Caenorhabditis elegans: one gene and its partners. The protein of the gene in region 3 purifies or fractionates together with the protein of the main gene of each other region. This does not show direct contact. Each region holds a gene or a part of one and is shown on either strand. Other genes may lie near its edges.

The links.
Region 1: the proteins of kin-18 (region 3) and nuc-1 fractionate together in Caenorhabditis elegans (co-fractionation; one large-scale study listed by BioGRID). This does not show direct contact.
Region 2: the proteins of kin-18 (region 3) and scl-2 fractionate together in Caenorhabditis elegans (co-fractionation; one large-scale study listed by BioGRID). This does not show direct contact.
Region 4: the proteins of kin-18 (region 3) and F25D1.5 fractionate together in Caenorhabditis elegans (co-fractionation; one large-scale study listed by BioGRID). This does not show direct contact.

The regions. Positions count from the first base shown.
Region 1 is NC_003284.9:9,536,829-9,544,429, reverse strand, and holds nuc-1 (Deoxyribonuclease-2), read right to left. Parts: upstream 4,526-7,601; 5' UTR 4,485-4,525; coding exon 4,381-4,484; intron 4,332-4,380; coding exon 4,190-4,331; intron 3,895-4,189; coding exon 3,817-3,894; intron 3,661-3,816; coding exon 3,189-3,660; intron 2,648-3,188; coding exon 2,520-2,647; intron 2,430-2,519; coding exon 2,325-2,429; intron 2,280-2,324; coding exon 2,181-2,279; 3' UTR 2,101-2,180; downstream 1-2,100. UniProt on the Caenorhabditis elegans protein: Hydrolyzes DNA under acidic conditions with a preference for double-stranded DNA. Implicated in apoptosis.
Region 2 is NC_003282.8:13,054,160-13,060,853, reverse strand, and holds scl-2 (SCP domain-containing protein), read right to left. Parts: upstream 3,145-6,694; 5' UTR 3,133-3,144; coding exon 2,959-3,132; intron 2,908-2,958; coding exon 2,770-2,907; intron 2,600-2,769; coding exon 2,388-2,599; intron 1,956-2,387; coding exon 1,856-1,955; 3' UTR 1,792-1,855; downstream 1-1,791. Other genes in the region: scl-3 (SCP domain-containing protein), read right to left, coding at 252-351, 398-753, 996-1,132, 1,184-1,226; scl-1 (SCP domain-containing protein), read right to left, coding at 3,593-3,692, 3,748-3,965, 4,013-4,150, 4,296-4,463; F49E11.7 (Serine/threonine-protein phosphatase), read right to left, coding at 5,700-5,945, 5,998-6,081, 6,130-6,244, 6,655-6,694.
Region 3 is NC_003281.10:6,114,783-6,125,478, reverse strand, and holds kin-18 (Serine/threonine-protein kinase SULU), read right to left. Parts: upstream 6,853-10,696; 5' UTR 6,585-6,852; coding exon 6,447-6,584; intron 6,019-6,446; coding exon 5,845-6,018; intron 5,764-5,844; coding exon 5,568-5,763; intron 5,517-5,567; coding exon 5,364-5,516; intron 5,315-5,363; coding exon 4,907-5,314; intron 4,776-4,906; coding exon 4,656-4,775; intron 4,529-4,655; coding exon 3,792-4,528; intron 3,617-3,791; coding exon 3,416-3,616; intron 2,947-3,415; coding exon 2,707-2,946; intron 2,653-2,706; coding exon 2,314-2,652; intron 2,196-2,313; coding exon 1,953-2,195; 3' UTR 1,414-1,952; downstream 1-1,413. Other genes in the region: mvk-1 (GHMP kinase C-terminal domain-containing protein), read left to right, coding at 459-634; nmt-1 (Glycylpeptide N-tetradecanoyltransferase), read left to right, coding at 9,164-9,262, 9,305-9,443, 9,524-10,317, 10,371-10,696. UniProt on the Caenorhabditis elegans protein: Acts as a negative regulator of cortical contractions during early embryonic cell division, possibly by regulating rho-1-dependent actomyosin contractility.
Region 4 is NC_003283.11:10,543,241-10,549,447, forward strand, and holds F25D1.5 (DeHydrogenases, Short chain), read right to left. Parts: upstream 3,544-6,207; 5' UTR 3,513-3,543; coding exon 3,243-3,512; intron 3,200-3,242; coding exon 3,011-3,199; intron 2,964-3,010; coding exon 2,589-2,963; 3' UTR 2,503-2,588; downstream 1-2,502. Other genes in the region: degt-1 (Acid-sensing ion channel 1), read left to right, coding at 1-372, 417-503, 563-736, 792-910, 956-1,188, 1,234-1,325, 1,373-1,807, 2,009-2,100 and 2 more; srd-34 (Serpentine receptor class delta-34), read right to left, coding at 4,358-4,560, 4,610-4,767, 4,814-5,013, 5,066-5,212, 5,259-5,355, 5,403-5,440, 5,788-5,841.

The DNA of each region.
Region 1 (7,601 bases), on a different chromosome or scaffold from region 3:
GCCATCTGTTTATTGACTTTCAACTCGATGCCATTGTTTGTGAGGCGCGTGAGGAAACTTGGCGGGAGAAAGAATACCAACAACATGATAGGTACAGTAAGTTCGAAAGAAAGAACAAAGAATAGGTTTTCTGAGTTCACAAAATATGTGATATGCCAAATGATTACGGACAACTTTGCTAATAGTAAGATTTGCATTGAAATACTTGCATATATTTGTTTTTAGTAGCCAAAAAGTTAAATGAAAAGTTTAATAACAATCTTGGGTTTCGGGATATCCTTATGCTTTGTCAGGAAAATAGTACGTTGCACATGTTTCATCAGTAATTTGAAATCCAGTAACTCGTTGAATAAAAAATAAAATTTAGAATAAATGCCATACTCATTTAACAAATTCGATGCAATTAATTTTCTGTACAGAAATTGCAGAAATTGCCTTTTACGAAATTTTGCGAATTTTTATGGCTGGTGAGTATGCAGACGAATACTTACAATTCTAGGTGTACAATTGAAAACTTTAACAGTTTCAAACACTGAGGAAAATAGTTTGGATAATAAAACAAAATATTTTCTCTATTGAACTTGAGAAAGTAATTTTAAAATCACAAAAAAAACTTACCAATCTGATATGTCGTCGAACAAAGTCGGGGTTTTCTGTTTTGGTAGATATGTGGGAGTTCGTTTCACAAAGTTTCGATTGGGAATAACGGATGAGTGTATGTCGAATCTGGTGGGACGTTGATGGTAGTGGCCTTTCCTCTCTAAAATAATAAAAGTGAAATGTATATCAATAGAAAGTGATAAGGCTTTGGAAACAGATATTGAGAGGTGGAGGAGGCCGAGAGTAGGGCGGCATCACCCTGGCCCCTTGGCTTGGCCCCGCGGAAATTGTAAAACATGAAGAAGGCAAGCGAATGAGTCGGTTAGCATTGGTGGGAGGATAGGAGGGGGAGCCGTGGGTCTACAGAGACAAAAAAAAGTAACCAAATGGGTAGTAGAGAAAAAAATGAGGAAAGGCTTGAGAGAAGAAAGTAGAAAAAAGCAAAGAAGAGTAAAAGGGGTAGCCGTGTTGATTGGTTTTGTTTGCCTTGGGATTACATAAGTGTCTTTTACTTCGATTAACCTTTGAGTCAGGTTAATCAGAACGTGCTCAAACACTCATCATGGCACCGACACATCGGCGCTCTCTTTCTACATATTTAACTTTTAGCTGCGAGAAACAACACTGACACGAATATCTGAAGAGAAAATGAAAAAGAGAGGGTGGAGCGGTGTGGGGGACAAGAAAAAAATGAAGAGACGTGATTGAAAACTGTGAAAATAGTGTGACAGAGGGCAGGAAAGTTATTAGCATTCGAAAAGGTTCTTTTGGCATGGTACGGTGGCAGCTAACAAAAAGCGCGAAGTTTGCAAAACATCGGGCGGCATTTTTTAATTCGATTATACAATTTATAAACTGACCGATATACGTTTCGTGTTATTCGCTTTTGTAAATTTTAGATATTTTAATCTCAATTCAGTTTTGCAAAATTTACTTGCAAAATGTAGAACATTAATTTTCCATTAGGGAATGTTCGACGTTTCTATATGAAAAGAATAATACGTGTTTGTAAGAAATTGCATAGGTTCAATGAACAGAGTGACCGTCTAATAAACAATCAATAATTTTTTGCACCTTTGGGGGTTTTTTTTTCACCCAACTACCAAATGCTGAATTGGAGTTTGATAAAGTATATATCTCCAAAACGTGTGGTTTTTTTTTGGCCCTTTTCACCTCGTCTTACACATTTTTTACCTACAGAAAAGTGAAATATTCACCAACGCTAAATCAATATCTTGCAGAGCAGTGCACATGCAATAACTGTTCACCAACTTGAAAACCTCAAAATAAATTCAAGTAATAATTACATGAAACTTGATGAAACACTTAATTCGATTTTGTTTTCAGTAATACTGTTTTTTTTTAAATGTGGTTATTAAAAGATAGTTATAATTTTCAGAAATTTCGTTTTCCAGACACACAAAAAAATGAGAGAAAAGTTTCCGTTACAATATAAGAGGTTCTGGCAATATTTGAGATTTATGACTTCTTTTTTTTTTTGGAATTCTGTCACACTAATTTTTTAAGAAGTACATCAATCATATTTATTTGTAGATAATCAAAAGTACATAGATGTAATTTTATGCACAATTATTTTGGGTTGCAATTACACTGTAGGCTTTCCAAAGGAACGAGCTGCTGATACAAGTAGTACCTCCTCCGCGTACATATTGAGATGTCTGTAAAATTTCACTTCGAGTTTTTTAACCATTTGTTTTACTCACCATTCGGTTGATATCTCCGATGCACACCCACGGCTTTGTCATATCAGCTGAGTGAGCCATTTTCGAGTGGTCTTTGGTGTATGAGAACGCGGTTGTACTACCAACCTACAAATCTTCTGTTGACAAACTGATTTCATCGAGTGACACAATTGCCACAAGACGGAAGGTTTCAAAAGGGAAAGTGTTGAAACTCACGTGAATTGACAGAGCATCATTGGCGTGGTAGGTTAGTTTGCAGTCAAGTGGGATCTCACTTCCACGTCTCCATGTTTCAACGACCAAATCTGTTTTCAGTGTTGGAGCCACAAGAGTATCGTATAGATCTGTAAAATAAATTGTAAAAAACGAAAACCATTGATTAAAATGTGGAACTTGAACTTCCTAAACCCCATTGCGCAATAATTCTAACACAAATTTCATCTGTATTTGTGTAGGTTTGAAAATCTCACAATTATATTCATGTAAATATGATGCCGTATTTTTTGTATAGTATGGCTACATTCACACTATTATTTCAAAATTAGTAATGCTAAATGTATTGTTGATTGTAACAAAAACACGGTATTTTTAAAATGTTTGAGAGTTATGAGGTTATTCGAGTAGTGTCGGATATTCAAAAAGTATTTTCAAACACACTTTTTGTATTATTCAAGTCACCAAATCATGCATTTTAATACAATTGTAACGTCACAAAGTGTATTAAAATACATTTCGCTAAATTACTTGAATAACCCCATTAGCAAACAATTAATGCACAATGATCAAAAATAGCTAAAGCATTGAAATTATTTCGAGTTTGCAGAGTTTTGTAACAAAAAAAGTTATTAGAAAAACCTTGCAATACGATATAATTTTGCTACTCACCTGCATTGAATTCCTTCGACTTGGCAAAATTAGTAAACGAATATCCAGCCATAGTCTCCAACTCAATAACGCTTTGGAATGGCTGTCCTTTTTGGTATTGTCCAGCGATTGCTTTAGCCAAATCTGCATTGTCAGCAGCCATGTTCGTTGGAAGATTCGAAGAATATATATTTGGTCGATTGAAGAAAAGTTGAGTTCCAATAGACTTCAATTGAGCGTACTTAAATGTCATGCAAAGCATTGTCTGTCCATAGTCGTGTCCACTGACTGGATACTCGTATTTCGTGGGATTTGGGAACAATGGCACACTGTGCACCAACCAGACTCCAGAAGTTCCATCAAAGAAAATGGTTCCCTTAGTATGTCCGAATGCGGTTGAAGTACTGTCATCTTCATGAGTATAGTTGCTATAAACTCTGTTGCTCAGAATCTCTTCCAATTTAATTCCACTTGTCGACTTTGATCCCCATGGCTGAAAGAAGAAACACTTGCAAATGTCTAATGGTTTCCATCTCTGCTCTCTGTTATCAGTTGTTCGCTCCAGGTCATGGTCAAGTGAGCATTTATCAATGCCAAATCAAACGATTCTGATGTTTCTGCAGCTGTCTGAGTCTCTATTTTCGCTTACCTCATCATTGTACATCACGTGGAAGATGGTCTTGTCATTCTGCTTGTCATAGTATTGTTGGAGTGTGTATGCAATTGCCTGGAAAAATTTCATATATACTCGACCTTGTATGTGTGAAAAAACTGTTAAACAGTTCTATTACAAACATTGCAAATATTAATCGAAATCATAAGGTCTAGATACAGTACTTTGCATGTAAAAAGATATTGAAATGCAATTTGAAAGAAAAAGTTTGGAGACAAAATAACTTCAGCGAAAAGGTTGTAACACTCTACTGCAACACTTCCGCAGCTGTACAAAAATATACTATTCAGTATTTTCTAAAATTTATGAAATTCTACTTCCTGAATTTTGTAATGAAAATTTTTCTTACTTGGTCGTTGTCGTCGAGAGTTTTAGCAGAAGGAGTCAAAGTTCCCTTTTTATTCACATCCACGTAGTACCATGCAACTCCACCTGCCAATCCTGTCACTGATCCATCATCTTTTTCGATTGGCATTTTGTACACTGCGAACCTAAATATCTACTTATTAGTAAATTATTTTTGTTTTGAAAATATATTACCAGTCAACATCGTTTCCCGACTGATCCTTGCAGGAGAATGCTGCATATGTTTGGGAAACTCCTAATAAGAGAAAAATCAGCACAGCGGCAGGAGACAAGCCCATTTTTCCGCTGAAATTTTGAAAGTTTCAGAAGGGAAGTGAGTGAGAAAACTGAAAACGTGCTCTTTTTATCAAGTGCTTTATCATCTCATTTTATCAGTTACTGCAAAATCTTAAATTGACAGTCAACATCAAACATTATCGGAATAACTTTCATTCATAAAAGATGAACAAAAAGTTGCATGACTGTTAAAGAGAATAATATGAAAATTTAGGAAAAGAGACCATCCAATATCAAATAGATTGTATATAATGGTACATATTGTCTCTTACCCTCCCTCACCTGGCAAAACGTCACAGGAACAGATGCTGCCTAATTCTTCTTGTCTCTCTCTCTCTCCAATGATTCCTCATTTTCCAATTTCCCAATTCACACTCCGATTCCTAACCTTTTAGCACCTTTCTAACCAATTTTTTTGCTATGTTTACTAAAATGGCGAACAGATGTTTTCACAGAATGACACGTAGGCATGTGTACTTTTCCTTGACGGAAATTGTGGTCGAGAAGAAAAAAGTGGGCAAACATTCAAGAGAACGAGGGCTGGTTGAGCCATTTGAAACTTGGAATCGTAGCGGTGTTCATATATTTTATCACGTTTCTGTTTGTTTTTTTAAACGAGTATTTATGAATTGAACATTAAGTAACGAACTAACGTATTTTCCAACGTAAAAACTATAAATGCAAGATAACCTTTTTGTTACAGACATAACTATCTCTTAAAATACAATTTTTTCTACATAGAAATTTTTATTAATAGACAAAAGTAAATGTGCTTTTCCGGATTTAAATTCTGCAAGAATCTAAAACAAATTTCATTTTGCTCCGCGAGGATGTGAAAACCATTGTCATTTTTTTTAATAACACAATACAATAGATTAATTGTTACAAAACTTCAAATTTCAAATCACGTTCATCATTTGCCTGGTGGTGATCCCACTGGGCTATATTTGTGGTTTAGCCGGGGACTGTGGCCGATAATCCAGTCGTGGATTGCTTTACTTCCCAATAGAGGCTCAGTGAACCTATTTAAGGTAATACGGTTACAAAACTTAACATTTTATCCAGTTTTTCTTCTTAATAAATATAAAAGATGTTGTAATGTGTATCCTGATTCCAAAAATAAGGTTTTACTATTATTCTTAATTTTTTTAAAATTAAGCGCCTTCACCGTAGAAGTGTAATATTTCCACTCACAAATAATCTGGTCGATTTTCTGAACATGAACAACGTTAAAAAAAATCATTGAATGCGGTTTCCTGAAATGGTTAACAATATGTACATATTTGGCGCTTACCTTTGAGAAATACTTTGGCTTTCCGGCAACATCGTCGTAGTTGCCAGGAAGTGTTTATGTCAGCTTTTCAACCGCAAAATATTGCCAGAAAGTTGTAAGCAAACAAAATTTGACTGAAAGTTGCCTCCAAATTTGGATTTTTAATAGTAAATTCAGTAGTAAATATTTTTTATGAGCTTAAAAGTACAAAAATGTTTCTCACGTCAAAATTTGTACCAGTAAAAACCATGTTGAAAGATTACAAACAAGTTCCCATCAAGTCAAAAATATTTTAACATTTTTTAGCGATTCATAATAATTTTAGAATTCCATTTTATGTCGGAAGCTGTGTAAATCAGCAAAAAAGTACAGCTTGCTTTTTTTAATTTTCAATTTACAATTAAACTCGAGCCTTATTTGAGCCGTCATCTGTTCCTTGTTTTATGCATGAAGAAAACATAATTTTTCATTATTTTTTTCTTCCATCAAAAAAATCAAGCAGTGTATTTTATTAGCTATACTAAAACAAATCTTATTAGTCTCTCAGAACATTCAATGAATTGTGAACCACTTCTTAGAATATAATAAAACAAGAATTAAACCATTCACCTTGAGACTGCCTGCTTTGAGGCTATCCTATTTCCACGAAATTTCCAATAAAACTAGTTTCCTCTCACTGGTCAAAACTCTACGTCAATAAAAGCTCCCTCGTGGGCTCCATCCGCTCTAATTTTCAATCGGATTTCTCGTCCACCTTGTCCAAAGTAATAACAGCTAAGCCATTGGCGGCATTTTCCCTTTTCTCCGGGAAGGGAGGAGAAATTTGTGGGTGAGCGAAGAATGACCAAAATCCAGTTTTGTCCGCTATCATTTCCTCTCTTCGTCTATTCGTCCTCACCCATATCGTTTTCGTTCGTTCTTCACGTGTTTTCCTTTGTACCGTTACTATTTGGTCTGCTGACGTGACTTCACAGTGCACTCAACTGCTTGTCTTCTTCCCATTCATAGTTTTCACAACCATTAATTTGCCCTTTCAGATTTGTTTATAAGGGCGAGGAAGAAAGAGATAATATTTGTATCATCTGAGGTATTTCGAATTTTTTGAGTTTGCGTTTTTTTTTGGTTTTTTGTTTTAAAATATTCAAACTATTCAAACACAAGTTAGATCTGAAAAATTCTCTGAATACATTCTTTACAAGGTTAAAAATTTTTAAATTTTTCATAGGTTGCTTTTTCTAGATACGAGTTTCGAATTATAATGTGAAAATGCTGTTGAACTTTTCTTTTTTTGATAAAAAAATAAACTAAACAATTAAGAAATGTTGGTAATTGTTTTTTATTTATTGCCAGCAATTACATATAGCTTAAATCACAACATTTTTTAATTTTTATAATTTTACGCAGTTAAATAAGCGCCCGAAAAGTTTTCTAAGATCACATTTACCACGAAGGGAAGCAGCAACTGAATATTAAAATTTTCTTAAACTACTTTTGATTTTTGTTGACTTTTGGTTTTGGCCGTTCATGAATTAATAAATTTGAGAATATTAAAGTTATATAGAAAGTATATAATTTGTTGCAACAGTTTTCTGCTTGTGAGAAAGTTAAATCAATTGCCCAATATATATATATATATAACTCATTTTTTCTCGAAATTATGCATTTAAGTACAATCATTGTCATTTTTTATTTTTCATGCATTTCATTATACCATTATATTACCAGTGTTCACAAGCACCTTCGTGATTTTTTCTTTATTTCAGTCACTGGCTTTTATTATTTTCTGTATTAGTTTTCTCATATGTTTTTTTGATCTATTATTCCTCTTTTTCTCAATTTTGGTTTA
Region 2 (6,694 bases), on a different chromosome or scaffold from region 3:
TATATGAAAAGCTCGATCCAAATTAGGAACAAATAAGAAACTAATTAGGTAGTTTATGCATAATGTTTTGGTTTGGAAGATTTTTTAATGAATACAATAGATCTCTGACTCATGTACACATTAGGCCGCTTTTTTCTTATTATCCAGTCCATCAAAAAAATATAAGAAAATTTATTACACAATGGAAAGAATATTGGAATGCAATGGGCAGTGTTGAAATATTATCTACGTTTCAATCATTTTCCACAAGTTTATACACAAAGTCCAGTGGCAGCTTCACAAGTGGTTCCAGTTGGGCACGCTGAGCAAGTGGTTCCTGACTTGTAGATGTCTTGACCCAAATAGTTTCCTCTGAAAATTCATCGTTTTTATGTGCATGTTTGCTTCAAATGCTTACTGAGCCTTGTATTGGCAAACCACAACAGCTCTGTTATAGTTATTTAGTTCTGGATCAGGTCCGCAGTTCTTCACTCCACATCCAATCAGACCAGTATTAGCCCAAGCCATTTGGGTAGCATGTCCAATTCCAGTGTTAGCAAGGGCTTGAGTGAAAGTGTTGGTTGTCCATCCGTACTGCTGGAATTCTTGTTCCCAGGCAACAGATGCAGCTCCTCCATAGATATCCATTCCGGAGAATGGGAGGCTGGACCATCTCCAGTACAAGTTCTCTCCAACTCCAGCTGCATTGGAGTGACCTCTCGGGCAAGTGTTAGCAAAAGTTTGAGCAGCGGTGGCCAATGTGGTGTCCCACTTCTGAAATGGTATTGGAGGTATAAGGAGTGAGTAGTAGGCGATAGTAGGCGAGGTCTAAGAAGTCTACGCCAGCTCTACATCAGACCCTTTAATTAACTCCAGATCAAGTGCTCCCAGATCTGTAGAGAAGCCGACTGAAACTTTAGAAAATGCTCTGAAGAGCACTTGAACCTAGCAAAGACCTTCAACTGAAGGTTCCATTCATTGGAAAATCACAAAGTAACTAACTGCCGAAAACCTACCATTTTCAAAAGATTACTACCAGCTGCTTTTGTTGTCCCTTTAGCCACATATGTTCCCTTGGCAATTGAAGTACGAAGCTTATTATGAAGGTCCACAATGAATTGTTGAGTGCTTTCTCTGAATTGAGCATAAGCTCCTGAAAAATTGAAGAAAATTAGTTTCAAAAATTTCCAAAAAAAAAACTTACCAATCTGAAGGGTAACCAAAACGAGAAGAGTAAAGGTGTGCATGTTGTCTGTTGAAAATACAACTAGTAGGTTGGATATTTATAGGAGATTTTAGTTTGTATGAACAACTGGATGTCGTCGTCGCCGTGAGGGAAACTAAAAGTCATGGGAAGAGGGAAAAAACTAAAGAACGTGTGCTTTAATAGAAATAGACTAAATTGGTAAGAGTTTTATGTTGACATTGTTTGTTTTATATACAAAAGGGAGGCTGAAGTTGGATTTCATTTTTTGAAATTTCACACAGTAGATAGTAACAATACAGACATACGGTAATTTTTTGAAATTCATGGAAGTCAGAAACGGAAAAATAAAAACGTTTTCAAGCTGTTAACTTTCAACTAAATCACCAACATCTTTGAAAATACATACAAGATATCGTAGTCAAAAAACCTATAGCTTGAACTTTTTTCATAACTTAGATACATCTCTAGACACAAGTAGTCTTTGACCTCCCAATAAAGTTCTAACTGCTCATTATACTCCAAATCTGCCAATAGGATTTCGAACACGTAATCGTCGCATTTGTTACATAGGCATTTTGATCAAAGGTTGTTTGTGTTCTGGTTTTCAACTAGCACACAATTTTATTTATTATCTACAGAAAGTTTGAAAACACATTGCATTATTAAAGTTTAGACGCAGAGCCCTGTGGAAGTCTCACATGACGTTCCTGATGGACAGCCGGAACAGGTTGCTCCCGATACGTAGATGTATTGATTAATGAAGTTTCCTCTGAAAATTGATGTATTAGCAAACAGTAGCTTGTATTCAACAGGGCTCTCTCGCACATACACTTTTCAATTTTTTTTTATGTTAAAAATTTTGTCTCGGTTGAAATTAATTTTCCTAAAACTACTTTTTACTCTTCAGAAAAATCCTAACTCACAAAGTGTTCAAGACTACTTTACCAGTTGTCGAAGCACAGTTCACTTTTCGCCAACAACAATATTTTTCGTATTTTTGTATAATTTTTATTGGGTTTTTTGTTTTTAATGATCTCCTCAAAATGATCAAAATTTGTTGAAAATTGCCTAATTTTTTGGATTTTGTTTCAGGGAACGTGACCAAAAATTTATCTTTTTTGCAAACCTATCCTAGAGAACAACACAAAACACAACATTCGCAGACACAGTCAACATAGACTAGTCAACAAATCTCACTTACTGCGGCTTGTACTGGCACACGACGGTTACTTTGTTCAGGCCGTTTGAGTCTCTTCCACAATCCTTGACTCCACATCCGATCAGGTTGGATTTCGCCCACGCCATTTGAGTCGCGTGTCCGATTCCTGTGTTGAAGAGATCGATAGTCATAAGGTTAGACTTCCATCCGTAATCTTGGAATTCTTTTTCCCATGATGCCGACGCAGCAGATCCCTGAATGAAAAGATTGATTATAGAAATTTCAGAAACTTTTAAAATAAAGAAGGTATCAAGCGCCTGCCTCCTGCCTACTGCCAATATTCGCATGTTGTATTTAGGCAAAATTTGAACAAAATAGGCAGTAGGTCTAGGCAGGCAGGCACAAGGTAGACTAAATGACTGACATATTGATTGAGGTCTCCCAGAGATCCACTTGTCCAATACCAATACAAATTCTCCCCAAGGCCTGCATCTCCAGAGTGTCCCGTCGGACACCCGTTTGCGTAGTTTTGGGCGGATGCGGCGACTGCGGAATCCCATTTCTGAAAAGTTGAAATCAAAAATAAATCTGAGAACCTTAGTTATGTACATACCATTTTCAACAGATTTGTTCCCGGCGATTTCTGAGTTCCTTTTGCCACGTAGGTACCTTTTGCAATTTTAGACCGCAGAGTGTTATGTGCATTGATAATTCCGTTTTGTCCGGAAGAGCCGAAATCAGCGGAGCAGCCAACAGCAAGCGCCACAACCAGCAACAAGTAATTCATAATTGGAGAAAAAAGTGCAAGTCAACACGAATATGTTTATCACTGCGGTTCATTTTATAGGAGTCTTATCACGCGAAAACCTGTAAAATTGTATGATAATTGAGAAATCGTAAGCTACGTATGATCGGAAGTGGGCAGCACAAGACCAAAGAATTGACTTTTATCAGTAATTATGAACATTTGAGTCAAGTCAACAAGTATTCTGATTAGGAAGAAGTGAATTTTCTTCCTAATTTTGTTGTTGGCACATAGGCAAGTAGAATGTTTTACTTTTGCCTGCACTTGATGTTGTGTGCATTTTCGTAAATTTTAAAAAAGTTTGGTGTAATTTAAAGTTTTCGCTTTATTTTTTTTATATAATCACCAAGAAAAAACAAATGCTTCATTAGTAAATTAATTCCCAGATTAAAACAAAACAAATAAATTAAAAAATTACAGACACAAAAAGTGAAATCTCTCATTATCCGCAAAGCCCAGAAGCAGTGTCACATTTAGTAGATCCGGAACAGCTGGAACACGTAGTTCCTTCCTTATAAATCGGCCGTCCCATAGTGTTTCCTCTGAATATTTTTGAACAATTTTGAGTTAAAAAAAATCAAAAACTTCAGTGCTTACGGTGGACTATACTGGCAGACTACAGCTATTTTGTTCATATTTCTCATCGATGCGTCTCGTCCACAATTCTTGACTCCACACCCGATGGAGCTGGTGTTTGCCCAAGCCATTTGAGTAGCGTGTCCTATTCCACTGTTGAATAGGGTGGTATCCATTGCGTTAGACTTCCAGCCAAAGTCTTGGAATTCCTTTTCCCATGCGGCAGCGGCGATTTCTCCCTGGAAAGAATTATTGATTTCTGTCCCAGAAAAGTTATGCGACTCACATAGGAATCCAAGGATCCAACATCCGCAGAAGTCCAAGACCAATACAAATTTTCCCCATATCCAGTTCCCTTTGAGTGTCCAGTTGGGCACGTATTCGCATAATTCTGAGCCGACGCAGCTACGGTGGAATCCACGACCTGAAAAGTTTATTGAAGTATCATCATTGGGCTTTTTGTTCAAATATGATTGCCAAAAGTTACCCCAACTTGAATGACTTGAAACTCTTGAAAAAAGAAAACTTTAAGTTTTTTATTTGACATAATTGGGCAATTTAAAACCTACCATTTTCCTCATATCAGTTGCTGGTTCTTTTTTGGTTCCCTTCGCAACATAGGTACTCTTTGCAATAGCGGATCTCAATTTGTTATGAGCATCCACAATGCTTGATTGACCAGTTGAAGTGAATTGAGCATTGACACCAATTGCTAGGAGGCAGAGAATGAAGTACATGGCAAACAAAATTATGATTTAAAGTTGCAAACGTGCTGCTTTTTATGAGAGGAGTTTTTTAATCAAGTACGAGATTTTCAAATAACTTTTAATATTTGCAAAACGTAAACAACAACAATCTTTATTTTTGTCCATTGTAGAGAAAACTCATAAATGATCCAAACGATTTGGTCAATAACAACAACAAATTGAGCTTTTTACGGATATCAAAAAGATCAGCCGGACTGAAAATATTATGCTATCGGGCTTCAAACCCACACACTTTTCGACTCGGCAAATTTGGTAAATTTGCCGCCCACCCCTGGTTTGTACTCGAATAATTACTAGAGAATCAAGCAAAAAACTGGAACAAAACTTTATTAACAAAACTTTATACTTTGACAAAAAATATAGTAAGTACTGATTTCCTCATTAATATTAATAATTATAATAAACTAAATCGTAATTTATCTGTAATTTTAAATTTAACTTATTCAATATTCGCCGACTGGATTCTTACTTCAATCCAGGATTTACACTTGAGGACTTCAAATTGATGAAGTGTGAAGAACTGACAATATGGAACCATAGCTTTACTCCAGAATACTTGAATCATTTTATCCGTAATTGATTAAACGGAAACATGAAAGAATTGAGAAGATTCCACTTGGACCATGATTTCAAAATAAGAGATTGGGTAGTGGTGTTGAATGAAATAGTAGTTAGTCGATGGGACGAAGTACGCCGAGAAAAAGTATACAGGTATTAGTGGTAAAAAGGAAAAATGATTGTTCTTTGGCAAAAAAATTATTTATTTATTTATTTATTTCAAACAATGTGTAGGTCTGGCAACAAGTGAATAAATTTCTAATTTACTTAAAAATCTGTAGGGATGCTAAACTGACATAGGAAATACGGTATCAATTTCCAATTTCAGAATCGGTTTTCAAGAATTTGATTGTTCCGATGGTTGGGATATCGAAAGGGAAGATGGAACTATTGCTACTGTAGTTTTTGTGAAATCATCATTTGATTTTTTTGTTTGGTCTAAATGATTGGAGTCAGAAACAATTATACCGCACGTTTGAAAACGCTTGCATTGTTATTATCTTTCAAATAAAATATTTATTCATTTTAGTCATTCATTTTGTACTGAATTTTGTCAAAAAAAACCTGAAAATTCAAAAAATTCAAAATTTTTCTTACACTTTTCTTGCAAAAAATATTGGAAATTATACACAAACTATTAATTTCAGTCTAAATCTTTCCAAGAGAAAGCCCCTCTCCGCCCTTGCTTTTGCCGTTCGAGTGCGACGGCGACGACGACGACGATGTTTTCAAATGTTTGACTGGCATTGAACCCGACTTTTTTCTTTCCAAATTAGGAATATCATCTCCACGAGTGATTTCATCAGCTGAATTTGCATGAAGAAGTTTCTTATGACGAAAACGCCCAATATTCAGTTTTCCATCTGTCTCGACTCTCAATGTGGCGCCGTGATTCTGAAAATGCCATTTTACAGTTTCAGATGTGGTTTAACATCAGCAGACATACATCGGTTTCATTCATGTAACGCGGAGCCGAGAATATCGTGAGAAGTTTCTGATCAGCAAAGAACTTGAATCCTTCAGGAATCATCTAAAAATTGAATCGAGAGCAATTAATTATTTGTCTTTTGGAAAATACCTGATGAGCTCGAACGATCAGATTGATATTCAGACGTTTACAAGTATCACGAACGGCTGCCTCATTGAAAATAAATGAAAGTCCACGGACACCATTGGGAACGTACTCCGGAGTTCTGAAAAGTTGGATTTTTTTTCGTGGTTCCCTATTTATTTGATCAAGTTTTCAAAAAATTTTAGCACTATAGTTCGTGAAGTAAAAAATGAACCCATCAGGGTTGGAGACCAAAACGTTTTTTTCCAAAAACATTTTTGAAAAAAATCGGTTGATTTCGGCAAATTTTCAATTGTTTTGGCAAAATTTCAACCTCATTTAAATTTCGGCGCGTTTGTCGGAAGTGAAGAAAATAGCGTGGATGCAGATCTACAAAGTGCTGCGCGGTAATTCAAATGAGGAGATTAGACACAATTGAAAATTAGCCAAAATCAATTGATTTTTACTCAACCTTTAAATATACTACGTGTACTCAAGTTACAAAAGTGAAAAATTAATTTTTTGACATTAAAAAAAACAGAAAATACTTACGATCTAACAGTCATCGCTCCTTGTCCATCTGCTGGGTCAG
Region 3 (10,696 bases):
AAAGAAAACATCGAAAAAAAAAACAAAAATGTTTGAATTTTCAAAAATCAAAAAATTTTCGATTTTCCGGAAAATCGAAAAATGGAAAGATAAAGTTCAGAAAATCAATCATTTAATTAATGTGTTTACTAAATTTGGTTTATGTTGATTAAAAAACATTAAAAAACAAATAAATTTCATTACAAAAAAAAAATTACCAAAATTTTACATGATCACTCGAAATGCCGGAAAAAACAAAAAAAAATAGCGATTGCCGAATTATCGAAAAACTTTACATTTACCAGAATGAAAAATCAAAGTTTTTAGATTTTCATGAGTTGGGAGAGAAATAATTATATTTGTTCACCAAAACCATTTACTACAGTAGAAATTCGCCTTTTGCTTATTTTTTGAGTTTTTTCGAAGAAAAAAGTTTTGTTCAAAAAATCAAACCTAAAATTAAAAAAAATTATTTTTAGACACGCCACAAACTCTTCTCGACATGATTGACGGCGAGCTTCGCAGTCATGGATTTGAAGTTTGGCAGCCACCACTTGGCGGACCCGGAGTTGTTGAACATCAGACACGTCCTGAGCTCTTCCAGACGCCCGTTTCGTCAACACAGTGCTCAACGCCGGCTTCAAAACATAAATGATGACGTCATTATTTGTTAAATCTGCCCCCATCAGCTCCCCCCAGTGTGTGATATTTTCCGTTTTTGGAAGAAGAATAAGAAGTTTCAGTGTTTTGTTCTCTATTGGGTAGCCGAGATATGAACAAGTCGTCGTTTATAAAAGTCAACTCAGAATACAAGTTTTTTTGGATTTTTTTTGTTTTTTTTTAAATCTTTTAAATTTTGTTTTGTAGCCTATTCTCTCCGTCTCTACCATTACCTTTATTCTTCATACCTTGATTTGTGTGTTGTAGGAATTATTATATATTCTATTGGTTTATATTTTTCTAAATATTTTATGTTATTCCTCTCAAGTCAACAAAAAAAACAAAGATTACCCACCAATTGCGCCCATTCCCATCAAAAATTTCTACTTTTCTATTATTCAATACAATTTTTATATGAAATCCCTGAAACCCCCCGCTCATTTTTCATCTTGAAACCTTCCCGTTCGAAAGCTATAATTCAATTTTATTTAGTGTTAGAATATTTTTTATAAACTGATAAATTCTCATGTTTTTGTTAATGTCCCTTTCATAAATTCAGTGTGTTACGATTAGGGCCCCTCATAGATGTTTTTTCACCTTCCCTTCATTTTCAACAACTCTTTCATTTCCAATTTATGGAAACCGACCCAAAATTATTATTTTACATAAATCATCTGCAAAAAAACTTAAAATATAAAAATAAGAAATTACAACTTTTCTGCAGAAAAGTTGTAATTTTTTTTTTCTTGTTATTTAAAGTTAATGCATTTTCTAAATAATTAAAGTTTTATAATATATTTATAAGTAAATTAGAAGAGAAGGAGATATATTGGAATATATGATATGATGATGGGGTTCAGATATCAAATAGACTATAAATATTAGAGAAAATAGAGAAAACAACGTTGAGAGCACCGATTAAAGTTTCGTTTCTGAATGAAATTAGGAAGAGAAGGTGAGGAACGAAAAATTGGGTATAGTTGAGAAGTATTGCACGTATTTTCGGGGTTACTGTATCCCGGAGATCGGGATACCGTACCCCATTGGGTTTAGCCGTGGTTTTCATCTATCACAGAAGAATTGGATTTTGGGAGCTAAAAAAGAAGGGAGAAGACATGGAGAAAGTGAGAGAATGAGGGTGGTGCAGAAAAAACATAGAAAAAGACGAACTGGAACCGTAATTAGATGGAAGATATTTGGAAGATACTATCAATTAATTGTCCATACAAGCATACATTTTGTATAAAACGACAAAAAAAGAAAACAATTGGTAGACGACCCGAAGTGTAGTAGAATTAAGAGACAACATCATTCTACATAGCCATCTGAATACTGCTTGAATTCCCAACACCAGGAGCGATCCCACCAGAACTTCTGCTCGTCGAGCCCGTCCGTACGAAATGATTCTCGAGACGATGGCGTTCTTGACTGTGTCGATCACGGATTTGCTCCTTCTTTAGTCGACGCATTTCTCCCATTTGTTCGCGTTCTTCAATAATCTTCTGTTCAAGCATTGCACGTCGTGTGCCAATTCGTTCTTCGAGTGCCGTACGTTCCTGAAAATATAAATTTAGTTGAAGTAGTGGAGCTAGTTCAGTTTTCCAATTTTCTTCAAAACTCAAAAAAAAAAGTTTTCAGCACAAATGTTAGAATGTTGTATACATTTCCGCTCACCTTTTTAATCTGCTCTTCTAATGTGGCTCTCGTCTTCTTCTGATAAGCAATCAATTCTTCCAATTCTTTCTCCAACTTCTCACTAAGAACCCGTTGTTCATCTTCTTGCCACGACTCGAGCTTCACTGTCTTATCCTGAACCATTTTTTTGATTTGACTTTCGTATTGTGAAGCAAGAAGTGCGACTTTTTGCATTTGATCCTGTTTTAGTCGAGACGTGAGCTCTTTTTGTTCATCTTTTGGAACTACTTGCACCATTTGTGTAAGGTAGAGCTTAAATTGGCGAGTCTGAGTCTTCACAACTTGTCGGTATTGTTTTCGAATTTGTGCTTCTTGGATCTGAAAATATTCAGGAATAAACTAAATCAAATCTTCTCCACAATTCAAAAATACCTTTAAATCTCTTGGCTGTTGTCTTGACTGCATCGCATGCTTTTTTCTCAATTCATCCTGTTGCCTCTGTGTGTACTCATTTTGACTTGCCGATTCCGCCTCGTGTTGTGTCTCCAAATGTCGTTTTTTCATCGCGTGAAGCTCGTTGAGATGCTGTATTTCCAAATCGCGCGTCATTTCATGCTGCTTTGACAGTAATCCGTGACGCGTGTCCATTTGGCGTTCTTGCACGTTTACGTCCTGAATATATAAACTGAATAGTAACTGTTGACGATTTTTGGGAAGAAATTCATATTTATCTATATACTTGAAGAAAGGCTCAAGTTTTTTTTAAAGTTATATGAATTTCACAATTTGAAAAAACGATTTTCTGGTCAAGGAGTTAATCGAAAAAATTATAGATTTTTTTCAGGGGAAAATAAAAATGTTAGAATTTTAGATTTTTCCGAATTTTTTAAACATCCAATCGTGTTTATGTTGATAAAAAACTTAACAAAAAACAAAACAATATGTAAACTTCTTTCAAAAAAATATTAAAATGGTCAATTTTTTAAAGATACTTTATGAAAACTCGAAAACCGGGAATTGTTGATTTTCGATTAAAAAAAGGAAAATGTTTCGTTTTTCAATTTTCAAAAAATCGACTTTTCTTGTATTAGTGAAACTTTTAAATTTATTTTCTGGTTAAAATCAAATTCTCCAAACTAACTTCATCATCCAATTGTTCTTCCAATTGATGAAGATTACTGAGTTGTTGCCTGCGATACCTTACAATTTCATCTTCAAGTTCTGCACGAAGCTTCTCGTCAAAATCATTTTCCCGTGCATCTTTCACTCGATTCAGATCGGCTTTCACTTCTTTCATTGCGTTCTCATAAGTACTTCGAGGCATGTTCAGACTTCGTAATCGCTGAAAATTCTTGGTTTAGGACATTTTTTAAAAAATTATTCAAGACTAAATAATAAACTTTGAAAAAAGTGGAGAAGCAGCTGAAAAAGTGACCAGAACTTTCATATTTAAAAATTTATAAAGTCTAAATTTCGTATAATTTCTTTACAGAAATCAAATAAAAGTGAATTCTCACTGTTTTCTGTGCCTCCTTGTTATACTTGTATTCTTTCAATTGTTGCGCTGAATACAGTTTCATCTGCTGCTGATTTTGACTATTTTTCGTCTTTTTCATCTTTTTCTCCCCATCTTCGATATCTTTTTTCCGTTTGTCTAGTTCATTATTCTGTGAACACCTCACTCTCATCTTTTCTTTCGAGTATGTCGTTGTCAATTGTTCGAGTTCTCGATCCATTTTCACACGCAGTTGCTCTCTATCTAATGCACATCGTTCTTCAAATTGTTGGAGCTCTTTGTGATGTGCTTGTCGTAGATGCTTGTACTTGCTCATTTGCTCATACATATTGTTCTCTTTCGTATATTCTTCTTGTTCCTGATTGATTATTCTCTGGGAACGAAGCGTCGCGAATTTGTGATTTTGCAACGTGGCTATTCGTTCCTTGACTGCTCGATGCGGCATATGCAAGTCTTTCACTGGAGCACGTATCGACGTGTCCAAAGGATCATCGTGTGCAGTTTCGAGTATAGAAGATGATTCTGATTTCGATGTTGGTTGTGATGTTGGGATAGGTTCTGAAGGAGACGGTGTTGGATTGACTGCGATCGCCGTAATCGATGCTCCAACTGATCCATGACTCGGCATAGTTCCAACACCAGACGTTGATGTAGAAGAGAGCATTTGCGAAGGAATTGGAGGACGGCGGCGTGCGGAGCTCGTCGTCGAACTACTTCCATTACCGTATCCAGAGGATCCTGAAAATTTTGAAAGATTCTCAATGTTGCGCGATGAATTTCGAGAGAAAAACTAAAATAAATGGAATTTTTGAACTTTGCAGGAAATAATAAAGCCATTCCTAAAACAAAAAAAACAGTACAGTACCATGCACATTATCCATAGCACCCGTCGTATTGGTGGACACTAAAAGACCAGCTCCTCCACTACTCTGCATTGATCGGAAAGAAGTAAGAGAAGCACTTCGAGATGACGCAGAATCTCCTGCTGAAAACGAGAATAGATGGAAAACGAACAACTAAGGGATAGAGTCTGCAAAAAAAAGCTGAGGGTTTAAAGCAATATTATAAAAATTATTCCAAGATATTAATATTTTCACTTTGAATTTTAAAAACTACCTCTTCCAATTGAATTAGCTTCATTTCCATGAAAATCTAAATCATCAGATGCTCCATTTCCTTCACTTCCTTCTTTTCCTTCTGTTTCATCCAAATACATGAGTTTTCTCATCTTTTTGTATTGAAAATTATCCAACTCTAATACCATATTTTTCGTTCTCTGAATGAGTTCCTGAATTGTGTCTGATGGGCGAGACCGTTGAATGAATGGATGTCGAAAGCATTCTTCAGCTGACATTCGCTCTTCTGCTGGTTTTCGAAGACATTTGTCTATAAATTGAACGAATTCCAGCGACCATTCCGGTTGTTCGCTAGTGTCAATTGGAGAAAGAGTTGGAGGATCATTTTGAGCAATATGGTAGAGGGCAGACATTGCATTCATACTGAACAATGGTGGACGACGTTCGGCTATAAATAATAAAATTAATTATCAAGTATAATTTAAAATATTTCTCACCCAGCTCTATACACGTGATACCCAATGACCAAATATCTGCACGATCCGTGTAGTGACCCTCATCCATTGCCAGAATTACCTCTGGGGCCATGAAAAACGGCGTTCCGATGAAAGTTTGAGCCGGATCTACCAGGGATGCGGATCCGAAATCAGCTATAATTATTCAATGAAGTTTTGAAAAACCAAATAAATTAATATAATTACCTAGTTTAACAATAGCATGATCAGATAGCAGAATATTTCCAGCTTTAATATCTCGATGTATTCGCTTCAGAGAGTGAAGATATCGAAGAGCATCCAAAGTTTGAGAGCAAATCGCAGCGATTTCGACTTCTCGCATTCCTTTTCGCAAGACATCCACTATATCGGCTGCAGAGCCAATACAGTACTCCATCACAAGCTGAAATCGAGAATATTAGCTTAAACGTTTTGATATATTTAGCATTATAGAAAAACTATTTTTGTTTTTAAATAATCTCACCCAACATGTAGTGTCCTTAAGAAAACAAGCCTTGTAGTCGACAATATGTGGATGAACAACTGTATTCAGAAAAGACACTTCTTTAAGAATATCATTCCATTTTTCGACAGCCTGTTTTCCACTAAAATTCATCTTTTTAATCGCAACAGTCTGCTCATTTTTTTTGTCATATGCCTGAAAAAAAAAATTTTAATACAATATATTTTATTTCATTTAATGAAAGTTTGAAGCCGCCTGAACCAAAAAATGAGAAAATAATTTCAAATTTATTTTATTCAAAAATAAAGAAAAGAAATAAGTAATCGGAAAATTTTCGATATTCGGTAAAATACGGTACCCGGTCTGTACTGTAATTTCAAATGTTCGTTGCTGTAAAATCTCAATCGATTTTTACAGGGTTTCTAACAATTTAATTTTTAAATTTTTTTCGATTAATATACATTTTTCTATCGAAAATTATGAAGTGTCGATAAAAAATTCAAAACAACAGAATTTTGAAATTACAGAACTTTTTAAAGACGCACACTCAAAAATGGCAAAATTTCGCACCAGTAATTTTTTGAAAATTAACTGAATTTAATTTTTTTAAACAGAAAACTTACAAAATAGACAGCTCCAAAAGATCCATGTCCAATTTCTCTTAAATCTTGATATCTCTGCTCTGGATCCTTATTACTGAACAATGCAGCAATCGATGGATCCTTGATAACACCGGGTTTTTGTAAGACGGCAGGCGCCATCGTAACTCCACCACCTCCTCCGTTCTCCGTATATTCGAGAAGCGCGGCGCCAACGAAAATGAATTTTTGATTATTAATAAATGTGTATTGTTATTAATTTTTGAAATTTTCTGATGTTTTTCTTGTCTTGTTTGATTTTGTTGTTGATGGATGAGTAAAAATCGAGGATGGCGTCGCCGTCGTCGATCGGAGAGAGCACATTAGCCAGAGGATTCCTTGCAGATAATATCGAGAAAATTGTGGATGCAACTGGTTGATGTGAGAAACTCTGAAAATTATGATAATCATGAAAAGGAAGCGAAATGGGGAGTTTAGAATTAAAAAAAGTAAAATAGGAGTAAAATAGGATACAAGTGTTGCCGATTTGAAAAAATAGGAAAGTTAGAAGTAATTTTTTTATATTCATATACGCTGTTAGTAACCGATAAAAGTGTTGTAAATTTTTCGAATTTTTTTAAATTGAAGGCTCATGACTTACTTTTGACATAATCATATTTAAACATAAAATGTCTAACACTTTTACAAAACCAAAAACTCAAAAATCGCGTGACAAAACAGTCAACATTAAAATAGAAAAAATCGCAATATTTTCTGTTCCTGTCTGCATCAGAAAGTTGCCGCCTGTGGCGGAGAGAGGATTATCGGCAACACTTTTCTCCTCTCTTTCACTACTTTTTTTCTATTTATTCCATTATTTATTATGGGAGTAGAACTAGAGAATAAGTAATCTGAAAATTGCAAAAACAATAACACATCGTAGACTGAACTTTTTGTAGAATCATTTTGTAGAGTCCTTTTGCGGATTACTTTATTAGAACTGAAGTTCAGGACTACTACAGTCCGTTCAAGCTAAATATTGTATCAATTACCAATATTTGGATGATCTACTTGAATATTTATAGAATTCAATTGATCTCATGGAAAGTAGGGGAGAAAAGTGTCGTCAAAGAAGGGGAGGACGCGTCTTCAATGCAAACACGAGCAAAAGGGCGCCGAGCCAAGACATTGTGTAGAGAACTAGAGATACACAGAAATAGCAAAGAGACGCAGGCTACGGATGATAAAAAAACATAGTGCAATCCGCACAAAATACCGCCGGCTATCCGCCACTTTATTTGGCGCTTAATTCAAAGAGATTGGAGGATTTTGGGAAAAGAGAATGAAATTGGAAAAGAGCTTATTTTGGATGGATCTCTCAAGCTGATCGGTGAAGTTTTAAACTTATAGTATCTAGTCAATTCATGAGCATGGAATTAAAGTGTTGCTACTAGTTGAATAGTTATGAAGGTATAAACACAAAAGAAACTAAAAACATTTTTTGTGGTATATTTCGCAAAATAGTTTAAAATTAAAAAGAAAGAGAAAATGATTCACAAATATTAGCCCTGTCTTCATTTAGCAATATTGCTAGCAATCCTTCTGAAGTGTTTAATGAATTTTCAAAAAAATCATAACAAGTTTTCCCTAAAAGAGAAAAGGTGACGCAGGGTGAATGATATCAGCACGGAAATATTTATTTGTTGACTTCTAAAACCTTCCAAAACGAGAACTTTATCACCATCTATGATTCATTTGTTTGCACTAAAAACCTGGTCCAAGTATTTTTTGATAGGAATTTAAGCGCTATGAAATTTGATAAAACTTGGAAAAAATTCCAGCGTTGTTGAATTTGATTATCAATTTAAGATGGCATTGTTCTCCAACTTCCATTCAACTTATTGCCTCAATAAAACAATAAAATGAAGAATTTGTTGAGATGATAAGAAACTTAAAGTTTCAGACGAAGAAAGACCAGAAAAGTTATCGATTTACGGTTGATTTTTTCTTTATATTTTTAATTTCAACTGATTGCACCGTCATGGCCAGAAACTCCTCTCTTATCAGACCGCCCGGGGCATCTAGCTGCCATTTTGAAACAAACTCTTTTAAGATGGAAGGGACAAAGGAAAAAGGAACAGTTAAACTAAAAAACACCTGTTTTGGTGGAATAAAGTTAGAAAAATGTTGCGCAGAGAACTGAAAACGCCAGTTGACATAAATGGTAGCTAATGTTTAGCTAGTTTTGTTTAAATAACTCAAGAAATGCAGAAGTAAAGGAAAAATAAGGAAAATAATTGTATTGAAATGATAGTGTTGGAGGGATCGAACGGAAAAAGCCGTAGAAACGGCGAGACATTATGCCGAAACAAGAGAAGCCAGAGAAGTGCCGTCAAATTAGGTGTCTTGTGTGCAAACACTAACACGGCAAATTGCAGAATTTTCGTGATTAGGAAAAATTCCTCAAAATTTGCTGAAACTAGTGATATTTCCTTTATTTCTGAGTTTTTATTTGATTTCGAGGCTAAAACAATTTTATTATGTTTATTAGCCAACTCATATTGCAAAAAATGTCAATTGAGATTGCTATAATTCTGTTGGAAAATCAATTTTTATTGTTAAAATTCTAGAATCAATATTTCAATTCCTCACTCTAATTCTGATATCAAAATTTTCGCATTTGATTCTTCTACACGTTTCTCTAATTTATTTTCATTACTCTCTTCAAATCCTTTTCATATTTCAGAACTTGAAACCTAGTTATGTCCCACGGACACAGTCACGACGGAGCTCCGTGTGGAGGACATCACGGTGATGATGGTGCCGGTGGCTCTCGACCATCTGTCAACGATGTGCAAGCGGTGAGTTTGAATTTTTGTGAAATTATTGCAAAGTATAAGTAGTTTAAGCTTGTCGATCAACTTCGTCTTGCTGGTGTCGATGTATCCAACATGCCCAACATTCCAACTGCTCCACGTGACATGGATGAGGCGCGATCGAAGAGCTTCCAGTTCTGGAGCACTCAACCAGTTCCACAAATGGGTACGTTTAAAAAGTCATTTTTAAAGTTTAATCAGAAGTATTTCTTATTGAATAACAGAAGATAACGTAGAAATTTTCAGACGAAACCGTACCAGCCGATGTGAACTGTGCTATTGAAGAGAACATCGCTCTTGACAAAGTCCGTGCGGAGCCATTCTCCCTTCCAGCCGGATTCCGCTGGTCCAACGTTGACTTAAGTGACGAGGAGCAGCTCAACGAGCTCTACAATCTTCTTACCCGCAACTACGTTGAAGATGATGATTCCATGTTCCGCTTCGACTACTCCGCTGATTTCCTGAAGTGGGCTCTCCAGGTGCCAGGATTCCGTCCTGAATGGCATTGTGGAGTTCGTGCTGACAGCAACAACCGTTTATTGGCCTTCATCGGAGCTGTCCCACAAACCGTCCGCGTGTACGACAAGACTGTGAACATGGTGGAGATCAACTTCCTGTGCGTTCACAAGAATCTCCGTTCTCGACGTGTGGCTCCAGTGCTCATCAGGGAGATTACCCGACGTGTAAACGTCACAGGAATCTTCCAGGCCGCCTTCACTGCTGGAATCGTTATTCCAAAACCAGTTTCCGTGTGCCGCTACTATCACCGATCGCTCAATCCACGAAAGCTTATCGACGTTCGCTTCTCGCATTTGTCTGCCAAAATGACAATGGCGAGAACAATTAAGCTTTACAAGTTGCCTGAGGAGACGGCCACACGCAACCTTCGCGAGATGAAAAGTACCGATGTACCACAGGTTTTCAAGTTATTGACTACAAGTCTGAAGCAATACTCATTGGCTCCAGTCTACAATAGCGAGGAAGAACTTGCTCATGCCCTTGTTCCTAAAAAGGGTGTCGTGTATTCGTATGTAGCAGAGGTAAGAATAATTAGATTAGTTATTTGTTTGATGTTTCAAAAATTGTATTTCAGAATCAAAACGGTAAGATTACCGATTTCGTCTCGTTCTACTCTCTTCCATCAACTGTTATGGGACACACGACCCACAAGACCATCTATGCCGCTTATCTCTACTACTACGTTGCTGGATCAGTGACCCCCAAGCAGCTCATCAATGATTCCCTTATTCTAGCCAACCGTGAAAAGTTCGACGTTTTCAATGCTCTCGATCTGATGCACAACGAGAAAATCTTCTCGGATCTCAAATTCGGCAAAGGTGACGGCAATCTTCAGTACTATTTGTACAACTGGAAGTGCGCCGACATGAAGCCAAGCCAAATCGGGCTTGTTCTTCAATA
Region 4 (6,207 bases), on a different chromosome or scaffold from region 3:
GGAGCAAGTTCTTTATCCCATTATTCTGAAGGAATCCATTTGGAAGCCGGAAAAGTCGTGACAATTCCTGTGAATGAAGTTCGAAAACTTCGTCTTCATGAGAGTAGTTGCGGCTCAACAAAAATGGAATCATTTTCCGAAAAAGAGTATTCAAAAGCAGCATGTGAATGGTCCGTCAGTGTAAAGCAAATTGAAAAAGAATGTGGATGCATTCCAATCAGAAATCCTATTTATCGAGGAGTTTTTGATAATAAAAATGATCCACTCAATAACTCAACTGAAATTCCAAAGAAAAAATACAAGAAATGGAAGAAAAGAAATATCCCGAGATGTACGTTGAGGCAAGAAATCGAGTGTGTTCAAGAAAAATTAGTGAGAATTGAGATTTAGGTAACCAAATAACTTTAAACGTTTAGAACATACGACCTCACATTGATGACTCAATTTGCCCTGACGATTGTGACGATATTTCGTTTTCTTCTATTGTATTCGGAGGAAAGTTGGTAAGTGTACTTTTGAATGCGTATTCAGTTCATTCATATCAAGTTTAAAAGTTTTTCAGAGTTCATCTGAAATAGTTTCCATGCTTCCAAGTGATTGGGAAGATACAAAAGAAAAACGAGTAGCTGATTATCAAAAAGTCCTCGAAGTTATACCAAATAAAATGATTCCTGTTGTGAGAAATGTTCAACAACTCGCGGATGAGCTCCAGCTGTTTGTCAAGGAAGCATCCGAAGTTAGCTTCATTTTGAGCATCAAATTAAGTTAAAATACGACCTCTTTTTTTTCAGATTTTTGGAGTTTCCGATAATTTCCATGATGTCAAGTGTCTCTCTTTGGATGGTCGTACCTATGAAAGTTTTATCAATCAATTTTACTCTTATGAACCAACATGGGAAAGAATAACCACGCAAGTCTACTCTGAATATCTGAAAAAAAAAATTCTTATTTTCAGGTATCTTCAACATTCTTTGGCCAGAGAACTCAACAGCACTGCTCTTTGTCTAGGACTATTTTTGACTGAAAAAGGAGAAATTGATGATACAGTAACACCGGTTGTAAACATGACGCTGGCTTCAATTTCTTTGTTACAACTCGGACAAATTGAAAATTCACTCGGAAAGGCAAACTTTAATTATGGATTGACAATGATGCATGAAAGCACTCGAAGAGTTGTGCTAGGATTGGGTAAGCATGCAAAAGCAAAGAGTTCTATTCCTCATATACTTTCAGCCCATCCACTGATTACTGAAGTAAGAGACTGTGTTACCAAAATGTATGAAAATCTGGAGAGAGTTGAAGAGATTGCAGAAGATTGCAGAATTGTATGTCAAACTAATGCATGGATTTGAAGAATAATAATTATTTTTAGATTTTCAAGAATCGCTACACTCCACTTATTGAAGCATCTAACGTCCATACAAAAACAAATCCAAATTCGGAATCATTTAAACTTTACACAGAAGCCATGAAGAAAGTGTTGGCTAAACTGCAAATATTAAAAACAAGAGTTCGAATGAGTGAATGGAAAGATTTTAAAATTGATTTAAAAGAATTTGAATCATCGTATCGAGAAATAGCAAAAGACCATGTGGAAATTGAAGAAATGCTAAAATTAAGAAAAACTATGGTTACGGATATTCCAGCATTGGCGAATGAATTATCAGAAACCTTTTTGGCAGCAACAGAAAGTAGAAGAAAGTTTGCAGTATTGACAGGAATTGCTGCAGATGAAAGTTTCAGTGATAAATTTTCAAATTTCTCGAAATGTTTGGATGAACTTCACGAAAAAGCGCCAAATTTAAAGGCAAGAATAATTACTGACTTTGAAATATTCAAAATACCTAAAAATTACATTTATTTGTTTGTTTGTTTATTCGAAATTTGATAAATAGTAACAAAATGTAATACATAGAAGATCAACGGGGAAAATCGAATAATACATAAAATAAGAAAATATTTCAAAGTTTAAAAATCAAGATCTGATTTTAATTTCTATATTTTAAAGAAAACTCGATTCATCCGTGGCGAATGGCTTTCAAGACTTCGAAACCAAGTTTTGATGGCCCAGTCATATTCTCCAACTCCTCAATATGATGTGTAAGTCTTTTAAGCGTAATCTGAGTTGTGAGTAGGGTGAGCTCAGTGATGGCAAACGACGCCGCCGTGACGTCTTGTTCTAATTGAGTGTATGCGTGCAAATAAACATTAAACTTGGTACTTTCAACGGAACAAACTTTTTTCAGAGTAAATCTTCTTCACATCAAGTTCTATTTTGCACACTTTAAACAAGAGACTATTCTTCAAGAAAGATCCTACAACTTATTTTTACTTCTTGGTGAGTTTTACTCGATGTGCTTGTAACTTTGAAAGTTTTCAGCCGAAATTGGAGGAACCATTGGATTATATGTTGGAGCAACACTTCTAACTGCAGCAGAAACTCTTGTTTTTCTTTGTGAACGAAAGAAAAGTAATATATTCCTAAAACCACAATTTATATAAAAGTATTCAATGTATTTTATTGTGTATTTTACGACTATTACATTAGATAACAATGGTTAACAAAATCTGAAAAAAAAAGTTATAGTTTACTGACTAAGAACGGACATAAGATCATGTGTTTGCATTCCCATAACAAGAGTTGATCCTCCATCAGCAACAATCGATTGTCCAATAATGTAAGATGAGAGGTTTCTATCAGCCAGGAATACAATGATATTGGCAATTTCTTCTGGCTTTCCACAATGCCCAACAGGAATGCATTCTTTCCGTGAGCCAATAAAACTGTAAAGCTTGTCAGATGCAGTTTCTGGTAAACCCATCGCTCCCATGAAACCAGTGGCAACTGCTCCAGGGCTGACAGAATTTACGCGGACACCATGTTGAATAAGATCGATTGCAGTGCATCTGGTGTATTGGTCAAGCGCAGCTTTTGCGCAAGCATAATATGGATATCCAGAGTGCTGAAAATTAAAACAAAAGTTCTGAAATCCTCTCTCCCGAAGCTTACTGCTTGTGGGCCAGCAACGATACTGGAAACATTTACAATCTCTCCTTTTGTCTTTATCAAATGTTCCTTTGTTTTCTGAGTCATTTCGATCACAGCTTGGAAGTTTAACTTGAATGTTTTCTGATACAACTCCACTGGTTGATCCGTATTAGCTGTTCCGTCAGCTAAATTGGCACCAGCATTATTAACCTAAAACAATTGAGTATATTTCATTTTCTATCTATGTACATACCAAGATATCAATTTTTCCGAATTTAGCAAGAGTCGTGTTGATGATATCATCTTGTCCTGATGCTTCGGTAACATCAGCAACCACGGCATTAATCTTCTCAGCTGGAACTCCTGCTTTCAATATTTGCTGTTTGGTTTCTTCTAGGCGATCTTCATTTCTTCCAGTAATTGTAACTTGAGCTCCTTCCTTTGCAAAAATCACAGCAGCCGATCTTCCGATTCCATTAGAAGAACCAGTTATAATGACAGACTTTCCAGAAAAGCGAGCCATTATTTTGAGATTACAAAAATAAAATGTCAATCAGATGAATGTGATGTTTAAATGCAGTTTAATGTTTTCTTTTTATACTCATTGCAGTTAAAATTATTTCATGGTTGAATGGAAGTTTGTAGTTTCCGTGACTAAAATATGAAATATCTGTTTACGTAGAGAGTATTTTCAAAGTTACTTCCCGAAGAGACCATAGACAGTGTAACAATTTTTGTGACTGTTAATTCCTCTGCGTCTCTTTGAATTGTGTCTATTTTTGTGCAAGCACAGTTGAGGGAAGATCAATTGATCAAGTTTTCAATATGAAAACACAACTATGATTTCAGGAATTTTAAAATTTTATTTGCTTAAAAAAAAAATAATTTCCGTGTCCAATAGTCTTGCACCCATCTCTCCATCTTTAGCTGCTTATTTTTCGGTTGTTTTTTTAATTTTGTCAGACATTCGCCAACTAGCAAAATATAAACAATAAGCTTTTTCTTAGGGCTTTAATAACACATTTCTAGTATCGTTAAAACGTAGTGCGACACTAGACGTCAAAATGAATTAATTTGGTGAGGAAATACGGTGAATAGTCTCTCTAGATCCAAAAACTTGTTTAACAATAATTGTTTGAGAGCTTTGGCACTTTATTTTAAAGTGTAATGTTGAACTGTAAATATTTTTTCATCGTTATTTTTATTTGCAGATCTTCGAACAATGTTTTTCATTTGTCGGTATTTTTTATTACTGTTATAAAAGTGCTTGTGTAATATCTTTGAACAATGTTATTTTATTCAATTGAGCAAAGTTCCGATTACTACTCCGATTAGTCCACCACTATCATTACCAATTATTCAAAATGCTCAAAAAATGGAAACAGCCGAAATATTGTTACGTCTAACAATTGCAGGTGAAACTTTTTTGCCACAAAACGTATCCTTGAAAAACGCAATAAAGGCTTTTTGGTACGGTGTGATGGTGACAATAACAATGAACGCATCAATAGCTGTTGGAAGAGAAAGCATCATATATAGAACTTTTTCAAAATTTGAGAGAAACGGCAAGTCTGAAAATTGTCACATATTATTTTACTGTAAAAACGGACAGGAGCCTACCATAATTCTCAAGTATTAAGTGAGCTATGTATATAGGAATCACACAAACTGCAGGGACAAGTGTCTGAATCGTCAAAGCAAGATCAAACTTCTTGGCTTGAGCAGCAGTTTTATCAGTAAATAAATGTTTTAAACTGTTGAGTTTAATTTGTATTAGTCTGGAAACACATTGGTAAGTATTTCTTCGAAACTCAAATTTATTACCTAATAAACACAATACTCATGATTGGTGGGACGAAAATGCTTATCATATTCAAATTTGTTGCTAACCAGCTCCAAAAATGTTTTTGATATCCAGTGATATCCGCATAGTACCGGAAATCATATTGTGTTGAATGAAACTTCCTGGTCTCTGAAGCAACCTCAAGAGATTCGTCTGGTTCGTACGTTATCACATAGATCACCTAGAAACATTCATATTTCCATTCTAGATCAATCACGAAAAGCAAAACTCACCCCCACAATTAAAGATAGAAGGTAAGAGCTTAAAAGAATCATTCTGATTTGATTTTTAGTTATGTTTTTCATATTAATATTTGTTACTTTTGTATATTTGTAAAACAATGTAGCAGGAATTGCAAAGGACGAGGCATCAAAGACTAACTGAATTTTGAATATTTGTAAAAAATAACAATTACAGGACACTTACCTGGAAAAAATCAAAACTGAAAAAGCAAGCATTTTTATGAGTGTGTCTACAAAACCCGCTAAAAAGATATGCTGACGATTCTGGATTGTTCACAGGTCTGAAGGAACAGTGTTAGCTAAAAATTAATATTATCGTACAACTAACCTGACTTGTGTGAAGACAACTATTATGCACATGAAAAACTGTAAAGTTGAAGAATTGACAAGAAAGACACGAAAATCTTTGAATACTACGGGCGTTTTAAAAACAACTAAAAGCACGACGGAAGTTTGACTGAACATGGTAAAACCAAAATAAACCCAAAAATAAATTGGAAATATGACAGTGTCGTAAAAGGTCTGAAATTAAAGTAACTGGCAATTACTTAAATGATAATCACAGATATTTTTCATATATGACAGGCAATGAAAGATTGGCATTTTAGTATATTTTTAAAAGTTTATTTTAAAAAGCAATCTTCCAATTGATTTTTCCTCATAAATACCTAACTAGGAGACTCACCATTGGTGGAAAAAGAAAAATTACTCACATTTGCTTCCATTGTCATAATACTAGAGTTGGCATTCTCATTGGATACATCCATGTGGTAGAAATTCTGAAATTCGTAATAAGAATATTTTTGTGAAAAATATCCAAGAAGTAACGAGGATGTTTACAATCTGGTAGATTTTTCTCGATTCGGGGAAATATATACTCCCTGTGGTAATATATTACCTAATTGTTATTCCTGTATGATGGTTTAAATCAGAACTACGTTCGGTTAAAACTAATTTGAATTCAAATCAAGATCTTTTTGTTTGTTGAAAAGTAGAGTAAAGTTTGAGTAATTTCACACAAAACGAAACATCTAATTATTCGATGATTGCACGCAGGAGCTTGTAAAGTTCTGTTGCTATGACAGAAAAATTTTGTCGGTATCAAAAAATGATTTCTTTTTTTTCGAGTTCTA